Arabidopsis thaliana: one gene and its partners. The protein of the gene in region 2 interacts with the protein of the main gene of each other region in a biochemical or structural test. Each region holds a gene or a part of one and is shown on either strand. Other genes may lie near its edges. The genes, in order: HEN1, HYL1, SE and DRB4.

What was found.
Region 1: the proteins of HYL1 (region 2) and HEN1 form a complex in vitro, tested with the Arabidopsis thaliana proteins (one study listed by BioGRID).
Region 3: the proteins of HYL1 (region 2) and SE form a complex in vitro, tested with the Arabidopsis thaliana proteins (one study listed by BioGRID).
Region 4: the proteins of HYL1 (region 2) and DRB4 interact in far-western blotting, tested with the Arabidopsis thaliana proteins (one study listed by BioGRID).

What each region holds. Positions count from the first base shown.
Region 1 is NC_003075.7:11,185,410-11,192,972, reverse strand, and holds HEN1 (double-stranded RNA binding protein-related / DsRBD protein-like protein), read left to right. Parts: upstream 1-1,849; 5' UTR 1,850-1,919; intron 1,920-2,153; exon of another isoform or gene 2,154-2,368; 5' UTR 2,369-2,397; coding exon 2,398-2,649; intron 2,650-2,739; coding exon 2,740-2,829; intron 2,830-2,982; coding exon 2,983-3,434; intron 3,435-3,518; coding exon 3,519-3,773; intron 3,774-3,985; coding exon 3,986-4,935; intron 4,936-5,436; coding exon 5,437-5,588; intron 5,589-5,732; coding exon 5,733-5,849; intron 5,850-6,043; coding exon 6,044-6,163; intron 6,164-6,268; coding exon 6,269-6,709; 3' UTR 6,710-7,037; downstream 7,038-7,563. Other genes in the region: MS5 (Tetratricopeptide repeat (TPR)-like superfamily protein), read left to right, coding at 7,129-7,341, 7,526-7,563. UniProt on the Arabidopsis thaliana protein: Methyltransferase that adds a methyl group to the ribose of the last nucleotide of small RNAs (sRNAs). This protects the 3'-end of sRNAs from uridylation activity and subsequent degradation.
Region 2 is NC_003070.9:3,137,124-3,142,217, reverse strand, and holds HYL1 (dsRNA-binding domain-like superfamily protein), read left to right. Parts: upstream 1-1,864; 5' UTR 1,865-2,099; coding exon 2,100-2,124; intron 2,125-2,620; coding exon 2,621-2,883; intron 2,884-3,286; coding exon 3,287-4,258; 3' UTR 4,259-4,569; downstream 4,570-5,094. Other genes in the region: AT1G09710 (Homeodomain-like superfamily protein), read right to left, coding at 1-188, 387-473, 735-924, 1,020-1,099; AT1G09690 (Translation protein SH3-like family protein), read left to right, coding at 4,788-5,024. UniProt on the Arabidopsis thaliana protein: Double-stranded RNA-binding protein involved in RNA-mediated post-transcriptional gene silencing (PTGS).
Region 3 is NC_003071.7:11,570,825-11,577,183, reverse strand, and holds SE (C2H2 zinc-finger protein SERRATE (SE)), read right to left. Parts: upstream 4,788-6,359; 5' UTR 4,598-4,787; coding exon 4,182-4,597; intron 3,971-4,181; coding exon 3,870-3,970; intron 3,623-3,869; coding exon 3,565-3,622; intron 3,227-3,564; coding exon 3,152-3,226; intron 3,068-3,151; coding exon 2,993-3,067; intron 2,899-2,992; coding exon 2,851-2,898; intron 2,701-2,850; coding exon 2,632-2,700; intron 2,543-2,631; coding exon 1,751-2,542; intron 1,671-1,750; coding exon 1,622-1,670; intron 1,507-1,621; coding exon 1,247-1,506; intron 1,139-1,246; coding exon 980-1,138; intron 888-979; coding exon 827-887; 3' UTR 526-826; downstream 1-525. Other genes in the region: FRS3 (FAR1-related sequence 3), read left to right, coding at 171-215. UniProt on the Arabidopsis thaliana protein: Acts as a mediator between the cap-binding complex (CBC) and both the pre-mRNA splicing and primary microRNAs (miRNAs) processing machinery.
Region 4 is NC_003074.8:23,225,001-23,229,364, reverse strand, and holds DRB4 (double-stranded-RNA-binding protein 4), read left to right. Parts: upstream 1-1,852; 5' UTR 1,853-1,918; intron 1,919-2,190; 5' UTR 2,191-2,201; coding exon 2,202-2,432; intron 2,433-2,521; coding exon 2,522-2,903; intron 2,904-3,161; coding exon 3,162-3,616; 3' UTR 3,617-3,839; downstream 3,840-4,364. Other genes in the region: AT3G62810 (complex 1 family protein / LVR family protein), read right to left, coding at 1,185-1,264, 1,362-1,602. UniProt on the Arabidopsis thaliana protein: Double-stranded RNA-binding protein involved in RNA-mediated post-transcriptional gene silencing (PTGS). Functions in the trans-acting small interfering RNAs (ta-siRNAs) biogenesis by binding and assisting DICER-LIKE 4 (DCL4). Required for DCL4 activity.

The DNA of each region.
Region 1 (7,563 bases), on a different chromosome or scaffold from region 2:
CACTCCTATGTTATTAGCTAAAATATTCAGATTATAATTCAGAGTCATATCATAAATAAAATTAATATTAATAAAATAAATGGCTTTTTGGCAAGACGGATTTGGAGAGACGGGTTTTTGAATCAACATTAATAAAAAAATAAAATATAATTAATCCACTGTTTGAATACGGGTTAAATCTTTAATTTATTATTTTTTAAGACCACTAATATTAAACATATCAAATCATCCTAATTTAGAAAAGATTATATAAAACCAAAAATGTTATGTGGTATGTATAATGTTACTATATATAAAATTAAACTATAAAATATAAATGTGTTAGAGAATGATACAATTTGCAAAACTTTTATATATAATAAATAATTCTTAAATTTTAAAAATTATTACTTTAAAAAAATATTACGGGACGGGTAAAGGAATTACAGAACGGGTTTTATTTTGGAATTGGGTTATATGGTGGATGTATTTGAATCAATATTTATAAAATTTTAAAATATTATTAATATGCTGTTTTACAAGGGGTTAAACTTCAGTTTTTTAACAATTGTCTCATGGATTCGTGGTATAGCGTTACTTAATAACAATTATAAACTGTAAAATATAAATATTTTATAAAAATAAAATTTGCAAGTTTTAATAGATATTACTTTAAAAAAATAAATCATCCCGCGGTATACCGCGGGTTAAAATCTAGTTCTGTTTAAAATCTCCATGTTTCTTCCTTAATCACACTTTTACTTTTGGTCATATGATATGACTCATATTTTAGTGTTATGCATTCATTACATGACATGGTTTTCTTCAAATTTTGGCTACAAAGCACAAGAAATGTGAGAATACCAAACATTAAGGTTATGATTCGTAACATTGCATAATAGCATAACGGTATAAGTTGCATAATAAAATATGTAGAATGAAAAACCGTAGAATCAAATTACTTAAAAATATATGTTGATTGGATACATTTTACAGAACGACAAATAAAATATTATATCAACAATATATATTTATACTAATAAAACTGTTTTTAATAAATTTTAAGTAATATTTGATAATAAAAATATAAGATTCTTAAAATCTATTAAAGAGTTGTGAAAATGCTGATTAGAGATTTTGAAATGAAGTAAGTAAAGATATGGTTAGTTATTTGGTTGTTCGGATTTTTAGGGAATATTATTTCGTGTAATATTGAATTAGTAGAGATTCAAGGGATTAATGTGTGCAATTTATGAGGGTAGTGCAAAATAATATTTTTGTTTAGGTAAGTAATTAGTGCAAAACGTGAATAATTGATCAAAAATTTGGTCATTGTCATAAAGAAGACAATCTTGTCTGATTGATTTTGTAGGGACTAAACATACAATATCGAAATTGAAAAATGATTTTTCGACACAAATCTTCCCCAAAAATGTATATGTAGATTATTAATAACATAATTTTTGTGTAAATAATTATAGTTTTTTATTGTTTAAAATTGTTAGTATTTAAGATGCGTAAAATAATAACAATTTCTTATGCGAATAAAAACTATATACCCATTTTTTGCATAATGAATTTTTACTTGTAAATTTAAACAAAAATACAAATTGTGCGTTTTTACGTTTTCTTATACAATTATGCAAATTTTCTTAATATGAGAATTTTTTTACATAATTACATTAAAAAACGCCTTACCAATCAGAGCCTTAAACCTATAATAACTTCACACGTAAATGGTATTTATTTTCTTCTAGAAAAAGAGAATGGTGGATAGGGGAATAAAATAAAAAGTTGGAAAAAGAAACGATTCTACAACATGTAATGACCAAAACACCCTCCTTCCTCCCTCTAAAACCCCATTCTCTCTCTCCCACTCTCTTTTTCTCTGTTGCTCTCTCCTGAGTTCTTCTTACATGAAAGTCCGCTGAACTCTTTAGGTTCGTTGTCGATTATTCTTGCTTTATGTTTGTGTATTTATTTTTTGAACTTCTGGGCTCTTTCTGAAATTCAATTTCATTGACCCATCTTCTCTGTTCATGACAATTCGTTTGTCCTAATGTTACACTCAAAACCCTTTTTTGTTGTTTATACCCAAACCCTCTATCTATCTGTACTTCCTTGGAACGAAATTTTTTTGCTTTGACTCAATTTCTTTCTTAGAATTAGAACATTGAGAATGTTGGAACTCAAATAGATGTTGGTTCGATTTTGAACTTTTTGTTTATTTATTAATGTTTTCTATGGCTCTGATTTGAATTGTCAAGTTTAAGACATTCTTCTTCTTCTCTTAGATACCCTAATTTCAGGGGTATGCACATTTTGCATAAAAGTTCCAATCTTTCCTGATCGTTGACAATATTTATGTGTACCCTTTTGTTTGTCTCAGTGTGTTAAAGAAGCTACATTGTGTTTGTGATGGCCGGTGGTGGGAAGCATACTCCTACTCCAAAGGCGATTATACATCAGAAGTTTGGTGCTAAAGCAAGCTATACAGTTGAGGAAGTTCATGACTCTTCTCAGAGTGGTTGTCTAGGATTAGCAATTCCTCAAAAAGGTCCATGTCTCTATCGTTGCCACTTGCAGCTACCTGAATTTTCTGTTGTGTCAAATGTCTTCAAGAAGAAGAAGGATTCTGAACAATCTGCTGCTGAATTGGCTCTTGACAAGGTATGCTTTGTTGTTTATTATATATATATATATATCTTATGTAATTTATTCTCTCTTATGTTAACGAAGGCAAGACTATTCATGTTGCAGCTAGGCATTCGCCCTCAGAATGATGATCTTACTGTGGATGAAGCTAGGGATGAAATTGTTGGACGCATTAAGTATATATTTTCTGATGAGGTTAGTTGATGAAAAGAAAATTTTGGTTTCTATTATTTTGTAGCTGTAACGACATCCTCGTTAAACATATTACCAGTTATATCGCTGGACCAAAAGGTATCTGGATGTCTAAATAGGAAGTGGTACTGGCATTAATGTTTGTTGCGATTGCAGTTTCTTTCAGCTGAGCATCCTCTGGGAGCTCACCTTAGAGCGGCATTGCGAAGAGATGGTGAACGTTGTGGATCAGTTCCCGTTTCTGTCATTGCTACAGTTGATGCAAAGATTAACAGTCGTTGTAAAATTATCAATCCTTCTGTGGAGTCAGATCCTTTCTTGGCCATTTCCTATGTTATGAAGGCTGCTGCAAAGTTGGCAGACTACATTGTTGCATCTCCGCATGGACTCCGAAGGAAAAATGCATACCCTTCAGAAATCGTGGAAGCACTAGCTACTCATGTATCTGATTCCCTACATAGCAGAGAAGTCGCGGCTGTATATATACCATGTATCGATGAGGAAGTTGTTGAGTTAGATACTCTTTACATTTCATCAAACCGGCATTACTTGGATAGTATTGCTGAAAGGCTCGGATTGAAAGATGGCAACCAAGTGATGATATCCAGGTGATTATATTGTCTTTTTTCTATTAGTAACTGGAGCTTTCTTGGTGTTAATCTGGTATGAAAGTATTTTTTTCTTTTCAACAGGATGTTTGGCAAAGCTTCCTGTGGCTCTGAGTGTAGATTGTACTCTGAGATTCCAAAGAAGTACTTGGATAATTCATCAGATGCCTCTGGTACTTCAAATGAAGACTCATCTCATATTGTAAAATCTCGGAATGCACGAGCAAGTTACATTTGTGGTCAAGATATTCACGGGGATGCAATCTTGGCATCTGTTGGTTACCGATGGAAGTCCGATGATCTTGACTATGATGATGTAACCGTAAATTCATTTTACAGGTCTCTTCTCTCCTACCGCTCAGTTTTATGTCTGATTTGTTTCCTTTCCACATCTTCTTCTAGAATAAGGATTTTAGGAATATTGCATTGGTGTAACGTCTACTAACTCTGAAGTAATGCATTTGATGTTTGTCTTTGCCTTCCGATGAAGCACTGCATATCTTATTCTTATCATGCACTGATGCATGACATTGGCTTTGTGGCTGCTGCAGAATATGTTGCGGTATGTCACCCAATGGAATCTACAAAATTTCCCGACAAGCTGTAATTGCTGCACAGTTGCCTTTTGCATTCACTACAAAATCTAATTGGAGAGGTCCACTCCCCAGGGAGATTCTCGGCCTGTTCTGCCACCAGCACCGACTAGCAGAACCCATCCTTTCTTCATCTACTGCACCTGTGAAATCGTTGTCCGACATATTCAGATCTCACAAGAAGTTGAAGGTCTCAGGAGTTGATGATGCCAATGAGAATTTGAGTAGGCAAAAAGAAGATACACCAGGACTAGGGCATGGGTTTAGATGTGAAGTGAAGATTTTTACAAAGTCTCAGGATTTAGTTTTAGAATGTTCACCGAGAAAATTCTATGAGAAGGAAAATGATGCCATTCAAAATGCTTCATTAAAGGCCCTCTTATGGTTTAGTAAGTTTTTTGCTGACCTGGATGTGGATGGAGAGCAATCATGTGATACAGATGACGACCAGGATACTAAATCTTCAAGTCCTAATGTTTTTGCGGCCCCACCGATTTTACAAAAGGAACACAGTTCTGAATCAAAAAACACAAATGTGCTGTCGGCAGAGAAGCGTGTTCAATCTATAACAAATGGTTCCGTGGTTAGCATATGCTATTCTTTGTCTTTGGCAGTGGATCCTGAATATTCGAGTGATGGTGAATCTCCAAGAGAAGACAATGAAAGCAATGAAGAGATGGAGTCTGAATATTCGGCTAATTGTGAATCCTCAGTAGAGCTCATTGAAAGCAATGAAGAGATAGAGTTTGAGGTAGGGACTGGATCCATGAATCCACATATTGAATCAGAAGTTACTCAGATGACTGTGGGTGAATATGCTTCATTTAGGATGACACCCCCTGATGCTGCTGAAGCTTTGATTTTGGCTGTTGGTTCTGATACTGTGAGAATCCGCTCGCTCCTATCAGGTAATACTTATAATGTTTACATTTGTTGTAGGATAAATTTCTGAAAACGATTTTCTGGTTGAAAAAAAAAAAAAAGGTCTTTATCATATGTTAGACATTTGAACTGCCTTCACCAGTGAACTTAGGTCTAGTCTTACTAGTAACTACAAAGCTCTGGTTCTCACTAATACTAAAAAGAGGCAAAGTTATGTAAGAACCTCACGTAAAGTCTTCTGGTGAAACTTAGGATTGATTTAAAGTCTTGTCCATTTTATTTTTTCTATTCTTTCTGTTATGGAATAATGTATTATTAGCATTTCAACTTTACTGTGTCAGCTCTAGCTAGTTAGATGAATCTGTCGGTCTCTTATTTCTTTTTCAAATCATAGCCAAAATTATCAAAGCTTACATGGCTGTAAACAGAGGATGAACAAAAATTAGACCTATATCTATGACTAAGTTAAGAGATATCATGAACATTTAAATGTGATAGTGATGGATTTCTCTGCTTTTTGTGCACAGAACGTCCATGTTTAAATTACAATATACTTTTGTTGGGAGTGAAAGGGCCATCAGAAGAACGAATGGAGGCGGCTTTTTTCAAACCTCCACTTTCAAAACAACGTGTTGAATATGCACTGAAACATATAAGAGAATCATCCGCTTCTACTTTGGTAAGCTCTATATATCTTAATGTCTTCCTGCTTACTAGGATTATGAATTCAAGACTTTGTTAAAACTCATTTGTTTCAGTCTCTTTTTGTCCTTATTGGTAAATCTTTGACAAGCATAAGATGGCACCTCTATTCTTGTTACAGGTTGACTTTGGATGCGGATCTGGAAGTTTATTAGACTCTCTACTTGACTATCCAACTTCACTTCAAACCATCATCGGTGTTGACATTTCGCCAAAGGGTCTTGCCCGTGCTGCTAAGGTCTGCAAAATCACACATCACTGTTTTTTATTCCCGCTCGTAGACATAACTTGATGAGACTAATGCATCAAAATAATTGATAAATGTTTGATGAAGAATGTATTTGCACCACTCATGATTCTCTGCATTTTGTGTAATTGAAAAGAAATGGTAGATTTACTTATGCTTTTGTGTATCTTGTGTTTCAACTTTAGATGCTACATGTAAAACTAAACAAGGAAGCTTGCAACGTCAAATCTGCTACACTTTATGATGGTTCCATCCTTGAGTTTGACTCCAGGCTGCATGACGTTGACATCGGCACTTGCTTAGAGGTCCACCTCTCATCTGCTCTCTAATCCTTCAAATTTTGTACACGTTTATCAAAAGCAATCTGTCTGGTTTCGGCGTTAAATCTATAATCTGTTCCTAATCTGTAGGTTATTGAACACATGGAAGAAGATCAAGCCTGTGAATTTGGGGAAAAAGTTCTGAGCTTGTTCCACCCCAAGCTCCTGATTGTCTCAACACCAAACTACGAGTTCAACACAATTCTCCAGCGGTCTACACCAGAAACCCAAGAAGAAAACAACTCGGAGCCACAGCTTCCAAAGTTCAGGAACCATGACCACAAATTCGAGTGGACAAGAGAACAGTTCAATCAATGGGCATCAAAGCTCGGCAAACGCCATAACTACAGCGTCGAGTTTAGCGGTGTTGGTGGGTCTGGTGAAGTAGAACCCGGATTTGCTTCTCAGATAGCTATTTTTAGACGGGAAGCTTCATCTGTTGAGAATGTTGCAGAAAGCTCAATGCAGCCTTATAAAGTCATCTGGGAGTGGAAGAAAGAAGATGTAGAAAAGAAAAAGACTGATCTTTGACTAGAGTAGTATCTACCAGAGAATATATATATTGCAAGCAATGTGATGACGTGTTCATCTATAAAACTCAAAGCTCGTTTAGTTCTTTTGCCATGAGCTTTTGCAGATTAACCATAAAATCGAACCTTTATGTTTACAAGATCCTTTTGTCTCCAAGTCTACTGGTCCGTTGAAGTTTAAAGATTAGATCAGTAGATTACCCTTTTTGCCCCTACGTTAAAGTTTGTTTATTTAAATACAAGTCCTTGTGATTTTTATCACTTTCTCACTTCTTCAACGACACTGATTCGTTTTCAAAGCATTTGCGTTCTTGATCTTTTTCACGAGGGCGATTTCTGAAGAACACGAGAATTTGAATTCTGGGAAAAGCTTTCTCGAACTTTATCTGAGTAAATTGACAGAGAGAATCGAAAAAGAAAATGTGTCCCTGCGTAGAGCGTCGTGCTCCACCTGGAGTTTACTATACTCCGCCGCCGGCGAGAACAAGTGATCATGTGGCGGCGATGCCGATGACGGAGAGGAGGAGACCACCGTATTCTTGTTCTTCGTCGTCGGAGAGACGTGATCCGTTTCACATTGTTCATAAAGTTCCTTCTGGTGATTCTCCTTACGTCAGAGCCAAACACGCGCAGGTATAATCAATTTTCCCGCGAAAACAAGACAGGGGAATTTTTCTTTTGACCTAATTTAGGAATTCTAGATTCTTCCTCATGTGATAAAATCTCTTAAAAGCTTTTCAAATTTTGAGTGATCTTCTTGAACCTGTCTATGATTGAGGTTTTCTAACAAATGGATATTGTTTATGTGGAAGAACAGTTGATAGATAAAGATCCGAACAGAGCTATATCATTGTT
Region 2 (5,094 bases):
TCGGTAGATGTAACTTTCTGAAGACAGACCGGAAAGTTGATATTCATCCCTCTTGACGACCAAGGAGACTCTGATGGTTCCTGAGAACCCTCAGGCAAAGCATAAGGTATGTTTATAGTCAAGGGAGCCTCAACTGTTGAATCGTCGAGTATATCAGACTCACTTAGAACATATGAAGCAGCCATCACCTGGGAATACAAGAGAAACGAAAACTTAATGATATTTGGATAAAATGGGAACTCTGGATAAGCACAGATTGATATGCAGAACAAGTAACCAACACACTAATCATTAAGAAAACAGCAAGGTGTTATCCTGAATAGAGCCTAGGGACTTCAGATTCTGAAATTCTGTCAAGGGAATGAAATCTATGATTCCGTTCTTACTTTGACATGTGCAATAGCCTCCACTGATGCTTCATGGCTGACTGCAGGAGAAGCTTCCAATTCGCACTCCATGTCACTATCGTCGTCCTGCACAGGCAACTTTCGTTTAAAAAATCTGTAAACTACACCAGCGAGAGACACTCATCGATCCCTAATGCTACCAAGAAGTTTTAGTATCCACTGCCACATAGAACATAAACTAGTATTTCATCACACTCACTTCTAGATGATACTGATAACACAAAGTAGTAGTGAGTTTTTATTGAAGAAAACTAACTAACTCTACAACATAAACTTGAGTCTTTTACAATTCATCAAAAGTGGAAAGAGGAGAGACAGAATAAGTACCAGAGGTAGAGCATCATCTTCCACAGGGAGGAGAGGATGCCGATAAGAAAGATGACGCCATAGCAACTGGTACTCTCTAGCATTAGTAATTCCGGTAGTGGTCTTCTTCACCAACGCATTCCAGTCCATCTTGGTTTCGGAACAATAAGATATCTCCTGTAGCATTCTCAGTATCGTCTCCATATCATATCTGCGTCAATAAATCAAAAACCCCGGCCACACTGACTAAACCCAAATCCACTAACGTTTTCGGAAAGAGAAAACAAAAAAAGGAGATATTTTTACCTCAGCAAAAGAGTGGCGATGTCGCCTTCAGTAATGATTCTCTTCCTGCGATTGCTACTAGTATTATTATTAGCAACCATCTTCGTCGTATTTATTGCAACAATTCTGCAGAGAACAGGACAAAGGAATCAAATTTCACCAAAACCCGAGGGAGTTATAGACGAAACGAAACGACAGAGACTTACGCACGAGGGAATGCCCAAGAAAACCGGTGAAGACGATCGGAGAAGAAGATGGTCACGACTGTCGAAGAGCGTGGAGAGTACTCGCGTGGCAGAGGTGTTTCGGAAGAGAGAAGAAAAAAAAGGAACGAAAAGGAAGGTGGTAAATTCGACTATTATTATTCTACGCTTATCAGAAGCGAAAAGTATGGGCTCAAATATTTTTCTTTTCTGGTAAAGGGATATAGGATCAAGTGGGCTCAAATATGGGCTCAAATATTTTTCTTTTCTGTTAAGGGACATAGGCTCAAGTGGGCTCAAATATGGGCTCAAATTGTTTTTATTTTTTATTAAACGGTTATTATCATTATTGATGTTTACTTGGAGAACAAATTAATTATTTGTGAATACAAAAACTGTGTGAATATAACAAAGGGATTACTAGTGAATAAAGTTAGCCATAAAAAGGTTAATCAATTGTGGATATATACATTAGTTAACTACATATGAAATACGAAATTAGGCTATATGTAATTAGTTTTTTAATTAAATTAAATATTTCAAAGATAAAAACATTTTGCTTTCATATAATATTCACAAGTAAATTATATTTATGGAAAATTTGACCAAAAAGGTAAATTTATGGAATATAATATAATTTATAAAGGTTTGAAATTAAATTCAATATTAACATTTGTAACATAACAATTAAGAACCACCTTCTTTCGTTTGCCCTTGTGAAAAAAAAACAAAAATAAAAATCAGTAAAGAGGAGGAAGTCGAGGGGAGAGGGTTTTTGGTGAAGAAGAATCATCTCTCTCTCTCTGCTTCTTCGCAGCAGCAGCACGTTTCTTTCTTGCTCTTCGCCGTGCCCTACTAACCTATTATTCGTCTCTTCAGCTACATTCTGCTCGTGAAAATGACCTCCACTGATGTTTCCTCTGGTGAATTACTTCTTCTTCTTCTTCTTCTTCTTCACCATCATGTCTGCATTATCTCTAATTCAACATTCATGGGTTGTTTTTTCCGGGTTTTAATTTTGAAACCAGATCATGCTTTTTCCCCTTTCTTCTGTTCTTTACTCACTTCTTTCTTCTTGGAAATTGGATTGCAGTGTTTTGATTAGTTAGAATTTACAAGTGTATCTGTCCCTTGTGGGTTTAAGCGTAGATCTCTCTGGCAATTGGCAAGTTTACTCTTTTGAGATGATGATTTATTGACTCAATTTGTTAGGGAACATAGAAGCTTGGTTTAAAACTGTCTCTCCCCTTTTGGATAAGTATAGTTTCTTTGTGAAAGTCGTCAGCTTTATTCAGAACTCGTTCACTGCTGTTCCCTGTTGTCGTTTTGAGTTTATTTGCAATTTATGCTGTAGTGGATAGCATCATCACTGTTTCTGTTTTATCTTTTGCCTCATTTTGAAGTTTTTTTCCTGCTCAGGTGTTTCCAATTGCTATGTTTTCAAAAGTCGGTTGCAGGAGTATGCTCAGAAGTACAAGCTCCCAACGCCTGTTTATGAGATCGTTAAAGAAGGCCCTTCACACAAATCTTTATTTCAATCGACTGTGATACTGGATGGTGTCAGATATAATTCTTTGCCTGGATTCTTCAATCGTAAGGCTGCAGAGCAATCAGCTGCCGAGGTTGCTCTCCGGGAATTAGCAAAATCCAGTGAGCTAAGCCAATGTGTTTCACAACCTGTTGTAAGCACCTCATCTTTCTTATTTCGCTCGTGATTATTGTTAAGTTCACTGCAAAACTATTGAACCTAGCCTAGGGGTTTAGCAGCGAATTGTAGCTTTGCCATCTCAGCAGTAGTCCTTATGCTTAGTTTGAGCGTTGAAGGTTTAAAGGGAAGCTCATGGTTAGTTTCAGAGTTGAAGGTTTAAAGGGGAGCTGTGAGAATACGTTAGGGGGCATTCTGTATTTGTCTAGGCTCTTGGTTGGACAATGATCGAGATTCAAGAGTTTAAAGAATCCACTCATTAATAAAGTGTCTTCTGTCTTATCGGATTTATGTGTATTGCCAACTTCTAGAGGGAAGATTCTTAGGCTGTTTCTGTAAGTTATTGCTCTTGTCTAACTTTGAATGGCTTATTAATGCAGCACGAAACGGGATTATGCAAGAACCTACTTCAAGAATACGCTCAAAAGATGAATTACGCGATTCCATTGTATCAGTGCCAGAAGGTCGAAACTCTTGGGAGAGTTACACAATTCACATGTACTGTAGAGATTGGAGGCATAAAGTACACAGGAGCTGCAACAAGAACTAAAAAAGATGCTGAGATTAGCGCTGGGAGAACTGCTCTTTTAGCGATCCAGTCAGACACTAAAAACAACCTTGCCAACTACAACACTCAGCTTACTGTACTTCCTTGTGAGAAGAAGACAATACAGGCAGCTATCCCGCTTAAAGAAACCGTCAAGACTCTTAAAGCCAGGAAGGCTCAGTTCAAGAAGAAAGCTCAGAAAGGAAAACGCACAGTAGCTAAAAATCCTGAAGATATTATCATCCCTCCTCAACCTACTGATCATTGTCAAAACGATCAGTCAGAGAAAATTGAGACAACGCCAAATCTGGAACCTTCTTCATGCATGAACGGGTTAAAGGAGGCAGCATTTGGGAGTGTGGAGACAGAGAAAATTGAGACAACGCCAAATCTGGAACCTCCTTCATGCATGAACGGGTTAAAGGAGGCAGCATTTGGGAGTGTGGAGACAGAGAAAATTGAGACAACGCCAAATCTGGAACCTCCTTCATGCATGAACGGGTTAAAGGAGGCAGCATTTGGGAGTGTGGAGACAGAGAAAATTGAGACAACGCCAAATCTGGAACCTTCTTCATGCATGAACGGGTTAAAGGAGGCAGCATTTGGGAGTGTGGAGACAGAGAAAATTGAGACAACGCCAAATCTGGAACCTCCTTCATGCATGAACGGGTTAAAGGAGGCAGCATTTGGGAGTGTGGAGACAGAGAAAATTGAGACAACGCCAAATCTGGAATCTTCTTCATGCATGAGCGGGTTAAAGGAGGCAGCATTTGGGAGTGTGGAGACAGAAGCAAGCCACGCATAACAGTGTCAAGATGGAGTCTTGTGAGTTTGTCATAGTTACTATATGGTTACGTAGCCATTTTGTGATTCCTATCTAGTCTAGTAGTAATTCACAGATTGAAGAGAAGTAATATTTGAGCGGAAAATCAAAACTAATATGATTGGTACAATTTGGTGGTCGATTGAGTCATTCGAATAAAGTAATGTGGGGTTGCAAAACAGAAGCTTCATATCTACATATAAATGAAAATTACTCTCAAACTTCATTATTTGTGGGCCGGTTATAAAAACACAAACCCAACAGAAGGTCCATTACCCTCACTCTTCATTATTTGTGGGCTGGTTCTAAAAAACAAAAGTCCAATAGAAGGTTCATTACCCTCACTCTTGATTATTTGTGGGCTGGTTCTAAAAAACAGAAGCCCAACTTGCTGACCCAACAGGTCCGTTTACGAAACCCTAATCTCAAAACAGAGATATAAATACACTCTGCCTTCCTCATTTCATTTCTTCGGCGATCTAGGGTTTTAGTTGTCGCACGAGGAGGAAAAATGCCAGCGGGTCATGGAGTTCGGGCGAGAACGAGGGATCTGTTCGCGAGGCCATTCAGGAAGAAGGGTTACATTCCACTCTCGACTTACCTGAGAACCTTCAAGGTCGGCGATTACGTCGATGTGAAGGTGAATGGTGCGATCCACAAGGGTATGCCTCACAAGTTCTACCACGGTCGTACTGGTCGTATCTGGAACGTCACTAAACGCGCCGTCGGTGTTGAAGTCAACAAACAGGTCTGATGAACTCTCCTATCTCTTCAGCTTTTGTGTCATTGAATTAGGATTTGAGCTTCTTAGTGTGCTA
Region 3 (6,359 bases), on a different chromosome or scaffold from region 2:
TTTTCTTTTTCCAAGTAGTAGTTATTAAATAATTACAAGGCCAATGATAGTTGAATTAGTAATAGTAACAGCAATCAATTAGGTTCATATCGACCTATAATTGTTCCTGAACTATTACTTGGTCTATGTATTGTCTTATAGAGTATCTAAACGGTATCTTGCATTTGCAGGGAGAGCTACAAACAGAATCTCAAGCAAAGAAGCAACGCAAATGATGTTGAGAGAGAGAAACAACCTCTGGAAAAGAAAACTTTGGAAAATGGTTGTTAACCTCATTAGAGCTCGTCTGTGATTAGTGTTGTTAGATTTACGATACAATGCCTTATGTGTAATTGTAACATGTGTAAGTGTCACGTCATCTACGCAAGTGTGTAGAATCTGGTAGGCATTGAGCCAGGCTTTGAAGTGTATATATCCTTCTTATTTACATTGAACCCTAAAAACCTGGATTCTTGTGGATAGTCATTCGTTTGACTGCAGATTATATTTAATGGCCATGGAGATTTAAGACTGCCATGGAGACTTAAGTATTGATAACAAACAATGTGGATAAAACGCATTATTCAATACAAGAAATTCTCATGCTATTTATGTAATCATCGTCGAACAGAATTAGTAAGAAAGCACATGAAAAATTTTGAAAAACAATAAGGAAATGTATGGAGTGCGTATTTTACGCTTTAGTGAGTGAAAATTGGGAGGAACAAGACATAATACATCAAAAGGGTAAGAAAATGCCACAATCTGCTAGCTTTGCCTTCTAATACTGATGCCCTTTAACCCAACCCGAACCAGTAAACTCGGGATCTCTCTAGCCCTGTCTTGTCTACAAGCTCCTGTAATCAATAACGGTCACTTCTTCCTCTGGAGCATCTAGGTCTTGGTAGCTGCACCAAATTTCTCATACATTAGTACCTTAGAGACACTGCACTCTTGATCATAGGGTAATGGACTCATAGCACAGAGTGAACTACGTTACCTGCGCAGCCGTCTAGGATCTTGTCTAAAGGCCGGAGACAACAGAAAAGGGGCAGGTCCACCTCTCCCGCTACCTTCAAAAGGAGGGTTGGGTCCACTTGGGTCCCTGAACATCTGCATAGCAACTTCAGGTGGTGCTGGTACAAATGGTCCCAGTGGCCTGACCACATCATCATTCAGACACATTAAGATCATTGATTCAACACAGTAACTAATTTATTCTGAAAACAAGATCATGAAGGGAGTGAGTAATCTTTATTAAACCTACCCAGCACCAGGAACAGGCATCAGCATTGGTGGTGGGTTTATATCCGATAAGAAGGGAGGAACATGAACACCACCTTGTCCACCAAATGCATCATACCCAACTTCCCCAGGATTTCCACCATCATTATCCCCTCTCTGTTGATCTTCTGACCGATCATTTCTGTCATTTCCATTAGCACGTCCATCACGCTCTCTGCGTCCACCTCTATCATCCCTCAGTCTGTTCTCCATGCTGGGTTTACGTCTTATAGGTCTATCTCTCTGTTGAAAGTATAATTAACCCACGTAAATAAAACTCAAACCAAGCTAAACAAGTGATAACCCAAAAGTACAGACTAGTCAACACTCCATTAAATCTCAAAAGAAGATCATGTACCGGGCCAGATTGCTGCGTGGCTGGTTGTCCTCCTGGAGCATTAGGATCACTGCAAATAGCACAAAAAAATTTCATTACGAACCTGTCAGAAACGACAGTAGAGGAATCCAAGAGAAAAAGCCTACATACTTCATATAGTTCTGAAAATACAGTTCTTCCCGAACTTTGGTAGTCAGCTCTGTGACAAGCTCAGTGTGTTTCAGCTTGAGATGCTTGTACACAAATTCAGCAGCATGAAACAGCTTCGTGCAGCCCTTGGCTCCACAACCATATTTCCAACCATACTTCTCATCTCTAATCTTTCGGACATGTGGATCTAAAGCTTCAGTAGCGGCAGCATCTATCTTCTCTTTGGCAGCCATCACTTCCAAGGGATCTTGACCTTTCAACCTCTCTTGCCAATGAGAGTCGAATTTACTTTCATTCTCATCTCCTTTTGCATCAGAAACTTTTCCTTCAGCTCTCACATGCCGCAAACCCTTAGCTTCATTTGTTTCAACCTTTCCGTAATAGTCCAGACCATGAACACGCCATAGATATGTAACAAGCGTGTCAAGTAATTCAACACCCTCAAGGCCTTTCACAGATGTCAACCCCCTTATGATTACAACTGGACCAGTAGAACCACTGTGTAACTTTTCTCTACCTGATTTTTCAGTTTCTGAACCTTGTAAAACATTTTCCTCAATTTTTTTCTCAGAGTCTAGCTTACGCACAAGGGCTTGTGTTTGTTCAACGTCAGTCAGGATTCTCTTTGGATCAGAGGTGAAACTGGGTGCTTTCGGTGCGGCTGAAAGAAGTTCATTCTCTTTAGCTCCACCCATACCATGCCTTTTTCTTTTACCAACACCAGCGGCTTCATCCTCAGAATTAGGCTCACTGGTCCGGCCGGATTTATTCAATGCTGTCACTGCAGGGCCTCTGGAACAGAAGGGAAACTGAGAGCGTTAGAGATGACAGAATTGTGATCAGTCACACATGTGGAATAAAGGCCAAAGAAATGATCTTACAAATCTAGTGTCCCGCTTTGTAAATCAAGTAAGAAATCCTTTGCCACCTTCTGTGCAAGGTCATTCCTCCTGAAAAATTTCAAAGGAATATCTATAGTTGAACAGTTTCTTTAATGAAAAGAAAATTAAAATAATAAAATCAAGGATGTATAGTATTAATATTACACTATTCAGGCACTAACACCGAATCAAATTGCTTCAAATGACTCTTGAACTCACCTTTCTATGACAGATAGTAAGTTTGTTGGATGATACTTATTTTTCAACCTGGTAGATGCGCAACATAGATACACATGTTATTAGGCTAGCTTGCAGAATATCCCAGAAGAATATAAAAGATGAAAAAAGATAGTGAAATCACCAGTCTTCCTCTTTGTGGGTGTTAAAAAAGGCACGTTTTTGTGTTGTGATATACTCTGACTTGTATTCTTGATATCTGCATCAGGAAAAAAGCATTACACCCGCAGCTTTATTATTAAATTGCTTAAGTAACAAGACTAAGTAGCAGAAATGATCATACCTGCGTTCAGCTTCAGATGGCAATATATCATCTTCCAACTCCTGGATAAATTGTTTGTATGACATCAATCCATCCCTGGGTAAAGGAATTACAAAGGTAGTATCGTTAAATGCAACAGCAAGGGAGGATACAGACAGCATCAGTTGTGTGCCACTATAATGGTGTCTCTCAAACATTCACTCTAACTTTCCGGAGCTATAAGGAAAAAAACATATATGTCTCATCGAAGAAAGAACATTCTACAAGGGATGTATCCTCCATTCATTGAGCACCATTAGACAGTTCGCAACTCTTAGTTTACACTAACTTGATTAAAAATACGCTACCAAGAATAAACACGCCATAGGAAAAAGACAACAAACCCATGAAATACAAAGAAAATTTTAAAAAACAAAAGAAGAAGGAACCTTAACCTTTGAGGATTTCCACTGTTGGAAGCATCACCATAACCTCCACGTCCTCCCTCCCAGTCTGCCATAAGTAACACACAATAAAAGGTAGATATTGACATCTTATCTTCTAATGTAAATCGCTTGTTTCCAATCCACAGCATACAGAGAGAAATATACGAAGCTAGTCAAATGAACAGAAGTCCACAAATAATAAGAACGCCCAATGATAGGTATCTTAAACATGTCTCACAAGACAGAAATCATACGAAAAAGTGGTAATACTGATTCTCTCAACTGTAAAAACATCTTAGACAGAGATGTCTCACCCTGATAGCGACCCATAAAGCGACCATGAGGCCTTTCATCACCATAACCAGGCCTCCCACCCATTTCACGGTCATATCCTCCACCATGGTCATACCCAAATCTAACATGCAAAGTAAAAATTGAGTACAGATTAGGAAATCTCGAAAACGATGGAATATAACAACCATCGATACAAGAGGATAATCAACAGTTATCAGCTAAGCAACAATGCAAACACAGTTCCCATATGACTTTGAATTATAATTCAATCGGTAACAAATTAACTCTGATGTAATTCCAATTGAAGTGTAAGCATAAGAAATGAAGATTACCTTCTATCGGGTGGTCCATAGCCACCACGAGGACTACCACGGCGACCATCATAGCCATTATCATCCCTCCGATAACGCTTTTGAGGAGGCGAGCGACGCTGAGGAGGAGAGTGTCGCCTATCTCTATACGGTGGCGGAGGACTCAAGCTAGGACGTCTCTTGTAATCCCTACGAGGCGGTGGGAGAGGCGAACGGTCACGTTCACGGCGATTAGGCGGAGGACGTTCGATGTCTCTCTCGTCACGACGCTCTCGTGAATCTCTCTCACGGCGTAGCGGAAGCTGCTGCTGGTCTTGTTCCTGTTCCTGCTGCGGCAGAGAAGAAGAAGGCGGTGGAGGAGGTGGTGAGGAAGAGGTTGATTTCTCAGGGAGACGGTTATCGACGGAATCAGACGGAGGAAGATTAACATCGGCCATTTCGTTCGGAACCCTAAATCGGAGAATGTACGATTTCACTCGAAGCCTCTGTGTCTCTCCCTCTACCTTTACGGGTTTTGCTGCTGTTACTGTTACAGTGAGCTTTATTTCCAATAGGGCCTTACTCTCAGAGACCCATCTTCGTCTTCATAAATAGGCCTTACTCTCAGAGGCCCATCTTCGTCTTTATGAAAATACAGTATTTGGATTTCTATGTTAATTATTTGTCCACACCTTTGACTATTCCTCCATTTCATCGAAGCAAAACTATTTTAATATTTCAGTCAGATTCTTTCCCATCATTTCCAGAAAAATTCTTCAAACAATTCTGTAAATTAAGCCAATAATAAGTCTTAGTATCTCTGTCAATTTGATAAGATTAGTTTCTATTTTTTATGGGATCACTATGGATTATTTTTTCATAATCTGTCTATGGATTTGATTATTAGTAAAATACTAAAATGTGAGTTGACATGTAACAAAATTGTTTTGTAAAGCAATTGACTAAGACCATAGATTAAGGATGTTTATCATAAACTAATGAATCCTTAAAAAAATAAAAAGACAAACAAAAAAAAGGTGTAAGAAAAGTAACCGGAGTAGAAATAACAACGGCAAGAGAAAGTTACCGTTTTTGGAGTCATCCGTCAAAATCGTCTTTACAAGCAAGCAAATGCTTTATTGCATGTTGGTAGTCACACACATACACACACAATCTCCTTTTTCTCCTCTCGCATAAGATTCCTCTTCTCTCTCTCTCTCTTCTCTCTACCCATCTGATTCGCTGCTGACTCACACACGACACAGACCACCTCTCTCCTTCTTCTTCGTCTCCTGTAGAAGAAGACGTTTTGTTTTCTTTTGGGTTTGATCCTCTCGCGTAACTCCAAAGCTCTCAAAGGACATCTCTTTAGGTATCACCGTTTCTCCATCTTACTGTTGTTTCTTCTACTTGTGTGAAAAATCTCACCTTTTCTAGGTTTTCTTCTACTCTAATGGTCCAATTTCATTTGGGTTTCTTTACCTTTCTATAAAAATCTCTCTTTTTTGTCAAATTCGTGCACTTTTCAGGTTTTGATTTTCGATTACTCTAAGAAAACTTCTTAATTTGTTCAATCAGTTTTGTGTTTTGTCTGCGGTATGACTTTGGTTATGCTCTCCTTATATTCTCTCTCGCCCTATTTTGGGATTCCGATTACGAAAAAGTTGCCTTCTTATGTGATTCTGATTGTTTGTCATCTATCCGATGGTTCTGTGAAAGTTTTACTCTTTCCATAAGGATTTTGCTTGAGGAACTTTAAACGGCGGAACAGGTTACTAAGTTAAGAGAATAGGTTAGATTGTGTTAGGATTTCAAAGTGGAAATTTGTTCTTTAATTGTTGATAGATAGTTGCTTTGAGGGTTTTTTTTATTTGGTATGTATGATTGATTTGTGTTGTGTTGGGAGCAACATAAGCTTGATTTGTATTTGTTGCCTTGGATTTAATTTATGTATCTTCGTTGTGTTTGCTTGGGATTTCTTTGTTTTTTTCTATATACGGAGGCATGAGATTTGAGTTTGAGATTTGAGAGAATGATCATGTCTCGCTAAATAGCAAATATCCTGCAATGCGTAATTTTCATTTGTTTTATATATCATGATGCAATTTGGTAATAAAGGGCACTGTTCTTCTCTCATATTCAACATGAATACAATGATACTCTCACTCACACCTTTGCATTAGATAACTTAGTGGAACAGATGACTCGCTATTACTTAAT
Region 4 (4,364 bases), on a different chromosome or scaffold from region 2:
CATCTCTTATGCAACGAAGTGATAAGAAGAGTGAGTATAAATCCTTCTATGATAATATTTATTTCATCAATGGCTACGAATATATGGTATATATGAAACTGTTTATAAATGGAAGATGAGCTAGTTGTGTACGGAATGAGGTTTTGGTACCTTACATCGAAAAAGCTACATTATGTAGTTTTGTCATCGCCATGAGGCCCATGACCATATCTCTTTTCGAATCCATTTTTTTAGTTACCTTTTTCTTTATTCACGACATGGCTACTTTCTTTAGGACGTGCGTGAGTTCTTATATACAACATAATCACGTAATGCGTGAGCATTTATGAATACAGCTAAAGAATTGAATCAAACTCACATGAATTGAGAGAACAAAGTATATGTGGTTATGACGATTCACATGATTCCTATGAAACAATGCTCTTCAACACAAGAATCTAAGGATTGCACACCAGCGAGAAGATGACTGAGACACTAATAAGAGAAAGCTAGAACTCTGAACTTAAAATCATGAATGGAGATGATAAAAAAGGACTTCTGAGCAAATGCTGTGGACACTCATGAATGGGGGTAAATCTTGACAGATTGTGTAGTGGTTTTCATTGGAAAATGAACCATACTTCTCGGACCCCGTATCAACAATATAGGTTCTATTTTATTGGTTTGAAAAACTAGAGTGACCATCACGGCTTCAATCTTCTCGCGTCAACTCTATTTCAAACTTCCCATCAGACTCTGTGAAACAATCGGGGACAAGGAAATCTAGATAGATGACGAAACCTAAGCTTATGTAGGAAATAATTATATTTCAATCTAACAATAAAAGTGACATGGATTTGAAAATGATACAAAAGATGGGTCTCTACGACAAGACAAGGCTTCTAAGATTTGAGAATGACACAAAAGATGGGTCTCTACGACAAGACAATGCTTCTAAGAAAAGTAGAAAAGTGAGGTCTACAGTCTAACATACAACATAATCAATATTAGCCATGGATGTAAGTGAATTCTGTAATTCTTGTTTTGAAATGGACGAATCTCATCCAAAAATGTATGTAAAGAGCTTCTTATTGATTCAACTTGGCCGTGAAAAGAGAAAACAAACAGAGAAGCATAAAAAGGATCCACCTTTCCCGATCAAACAAAACGAGTAAGGGAGAAGTAATCCAATTTCAGACTTACACTCATACAGATTTTTTCCGAAGCATCTCCTCTGATGGAAGCTCCAAAGTAGCTCCCGCGTGTTCCTGACTTGCTTTCATCTCTACGACACAGAAAAATCAAATTTCCAAAGATATGAGCTTTCACTCACGCATTTCAACAAACAGATGGTGCGCAAGATAAAAAGAGTCAGAACGAACCATATCCGCCGCGTTCGTTGAGTTTAGCCTGGACGATCATGGTGGAAATGAACTGCGTCGCTTCACGCGCCTCTTCTAGAAGGCGAGTGATGTCGGAGTTAGAAGCCACGAGGCGATTCTCTTCGAATTTCTTACGGATCTCGGACGCCGAAGCTTTTAGCATCTCGGTATCTCCGGCGAATGATTTCTTTGTTGCCCTGAGCAGTGCTCTGTACGCGATCAACGCTTCTCCGGTCACCATTTCTGCTCTTTCCCCTTTCAACCTCCGCCGTCGTCTCCCTCCCAAAATTGGATTTAGAAATTTGGTCGCCGACAACCTTCTGATCAACTTCGAGTTTCATTGGGCCTTTACAACTTTCATGAATAAGCCCAATTTTGGCCCATTAATGGATTATTTCGGATCATACCCGTTCAAGCTGGGTTAACCCGAATCTTTCGTATCCTTGAGACAATTTACATGTGTATACTTATTATGGTTTCTCGATGAGTTTCAATCAGCGAATGCTTTGTCTGATTGTTCACTTCCTCCCTCGAAGTGTCTTCACCATTTCAAAGAGGTACGATTTTGTGTTTATAATCGTAGATTCCTTTCGCTGTTTTGATGTTATCGATCTGTACGAAACCCTAGATCATTGAGTCTGACCAATTCTGAAATTCGTCTCTTCGTTTGCCATTTATGTTTGAGAAATTCTGATACATGTTGTCATGTTGATCTCTTTATGTTTGGTTGACCAATTCTGAAATCTGAAATTCGTCTCTTCGTTTGCCATTTATGTTTGAGAAATTCTGATACACGTTGATCTCTTTATGTTTGGTTAATTCCTGCCAGTTTAGATAGAGATGGATCATGTATACAAAGGTCAACTGCAAGCGTATGCCCTGCAACATAATCTGGAGCTACCAGTGTATGCGAATGAGAGAGAAGGGCCTCCTCATGCTCCTAGATTTAGATGTAATGTTACATTCTGTGGACAGACTTTCCAGAGCTCTGAATTCTTTCCGACACTAAAATCGGCTGAACATGCCGCTGCAAAAATTGCAGTTGCTTCTTTGACGCCACAAAGTCCAGAGGCTAGTTCCTCACACTCTTTTTGGACTACAAGTTATGTGCTTTTTCAACATTTGTTTAAATTTTGATTTTCAAATTTTTGTTGTTTCAGGGAATTGATGTTGCCTACAAGAACCTGTTACAAGAAATTGCACAGAAAGAGAGTTCTCTGTTACCATTTTATGCAACTGCTACATCTGGTCCATCGCATGCGCCTACTTTTACTTCAACTGTTGAGTTTGCTGGTAAAGTTTTCAGTGGAGAAGAGGCGAAAACCAAAAAGTTGGCTGAAATGAGCGCTGCTAAAGTTGCATTCATGAGTATCAAAAATGGGAACTCGAACCAGACCGGATCGCCTACTTTGCCTAGTGAGAGACAAGAAGATGTAAATTCAAATGTGAAGAGCAGTCCACAAGAGATCCATTCTCAACCTTCTTCCAAGGTGGTGATGACCCCTGATACCCCATCAAAGGGGATTAAAGTGAATGAAGATGGTTAGTTTTCTTTGAATACTACACTACATGAATAATCCGTTGGTTTGTTTGTTAAAGGAAAAACTCTCTTTCTTTGTTATAACTTGTGGTCCAATCAGAGGGACGTATTTTCCTGAGATAGGTAGGAAACAGCTATGAAATAAGAAAGCCAACCTTACTTTAACTGCATGAAATGGATTCCAATTTCAGTTTAATGCTAAATGGTCAAGATGGTTAATTCATTCAAAACTCATGCTCTACAGTCTTGATTCTGTGCAGAATTTCCAGATCTTCATGATGCACCAGCCAGTAATGCTAAGGAGATTAACGTTGCTTTGAATGAGCCTGAGAATCCTACAAACGATGGTACTCTTAGTGCACTAACTACTGATGGTATGAAGATGAACATTGCTTCTTCTTCTTTGCCTATACCTCACAATCCTACAAACGTTATTACTCTTAATGCACCAGCTGCCAATGGTATCAAGAGGAACATTGCTGCTTGTTCTTCGTGGATGCCTCAGAATCCCACAAACGATGGTAGTGAAACATCATCATGTGTAGTAGATGAGAGTGAGAAAAAGAAGCTCATAATGGGAACTGGCCACCTGAGTATACCAACTGGCCAACATGTAGTTTGTCGCCCATGGAACCCCGAGATAACTCTTCCTCAAGACGCGGAGATGCTCTTTAGAGATGATAAATTTATAGCCTATCGTCTTGTGAAGCCATAACGACATCATCATCTTTGATGCATAATAAGTGTAGAGATAGAATGTTAAGGTAAGCTATATCTCATCTGTTTGTAGAAATAGAATGCTTCTCGTCTCTGGTTTTCTTAAGCAATATGCTATGTAGTATGTATACTGTGTAATGACTAATTTTTGTTTTAAAGCATTGTGTTTATTAGAAACAAGGCGAGATTAAATGTTAATAGATTATGGAAAAGCTTAACAGAATAAATATTAAATAGTAAGATGTAGACATAAGCAAAACCAGCTAGATAAGTAACCGCTTCAAGTAGAATATTTGTAACGATAACCGAATATAATTAGAGACACTAGAGTAGAGGTAAGCAAAATATTTGGGAACAGCAATTCCATCACGATATTAGATATTCGAGACCGGTGCGGAGATGTGCTGATGATTTTCGGAAGACATTCAGGTTGTACATAGCTAAGTCCATATTGGTACCCACAAGTGCTGATTTTCCGAACAGATCCTGGTTGTGAACGAAGCAGGGTGTGCCAGCAGTGCCAAGGCACAGAGTCCTTATTTTCTCTCTTAAATTTTAGGGTCCTAATTTATAGGAATTTTTATTTTTCTAGATAAAATTACAATGGTTGAATAGAACTACAAGTGTATTACGTTTACAAGAGACAGTAAACACTGCCACGTAAACTAAAATTTTTTGGATTTAAAGGTTTAAAGGGGATATTTTTTTTTTTAGCACAGAACCCAAAATAATATTGAGTCGGGCCT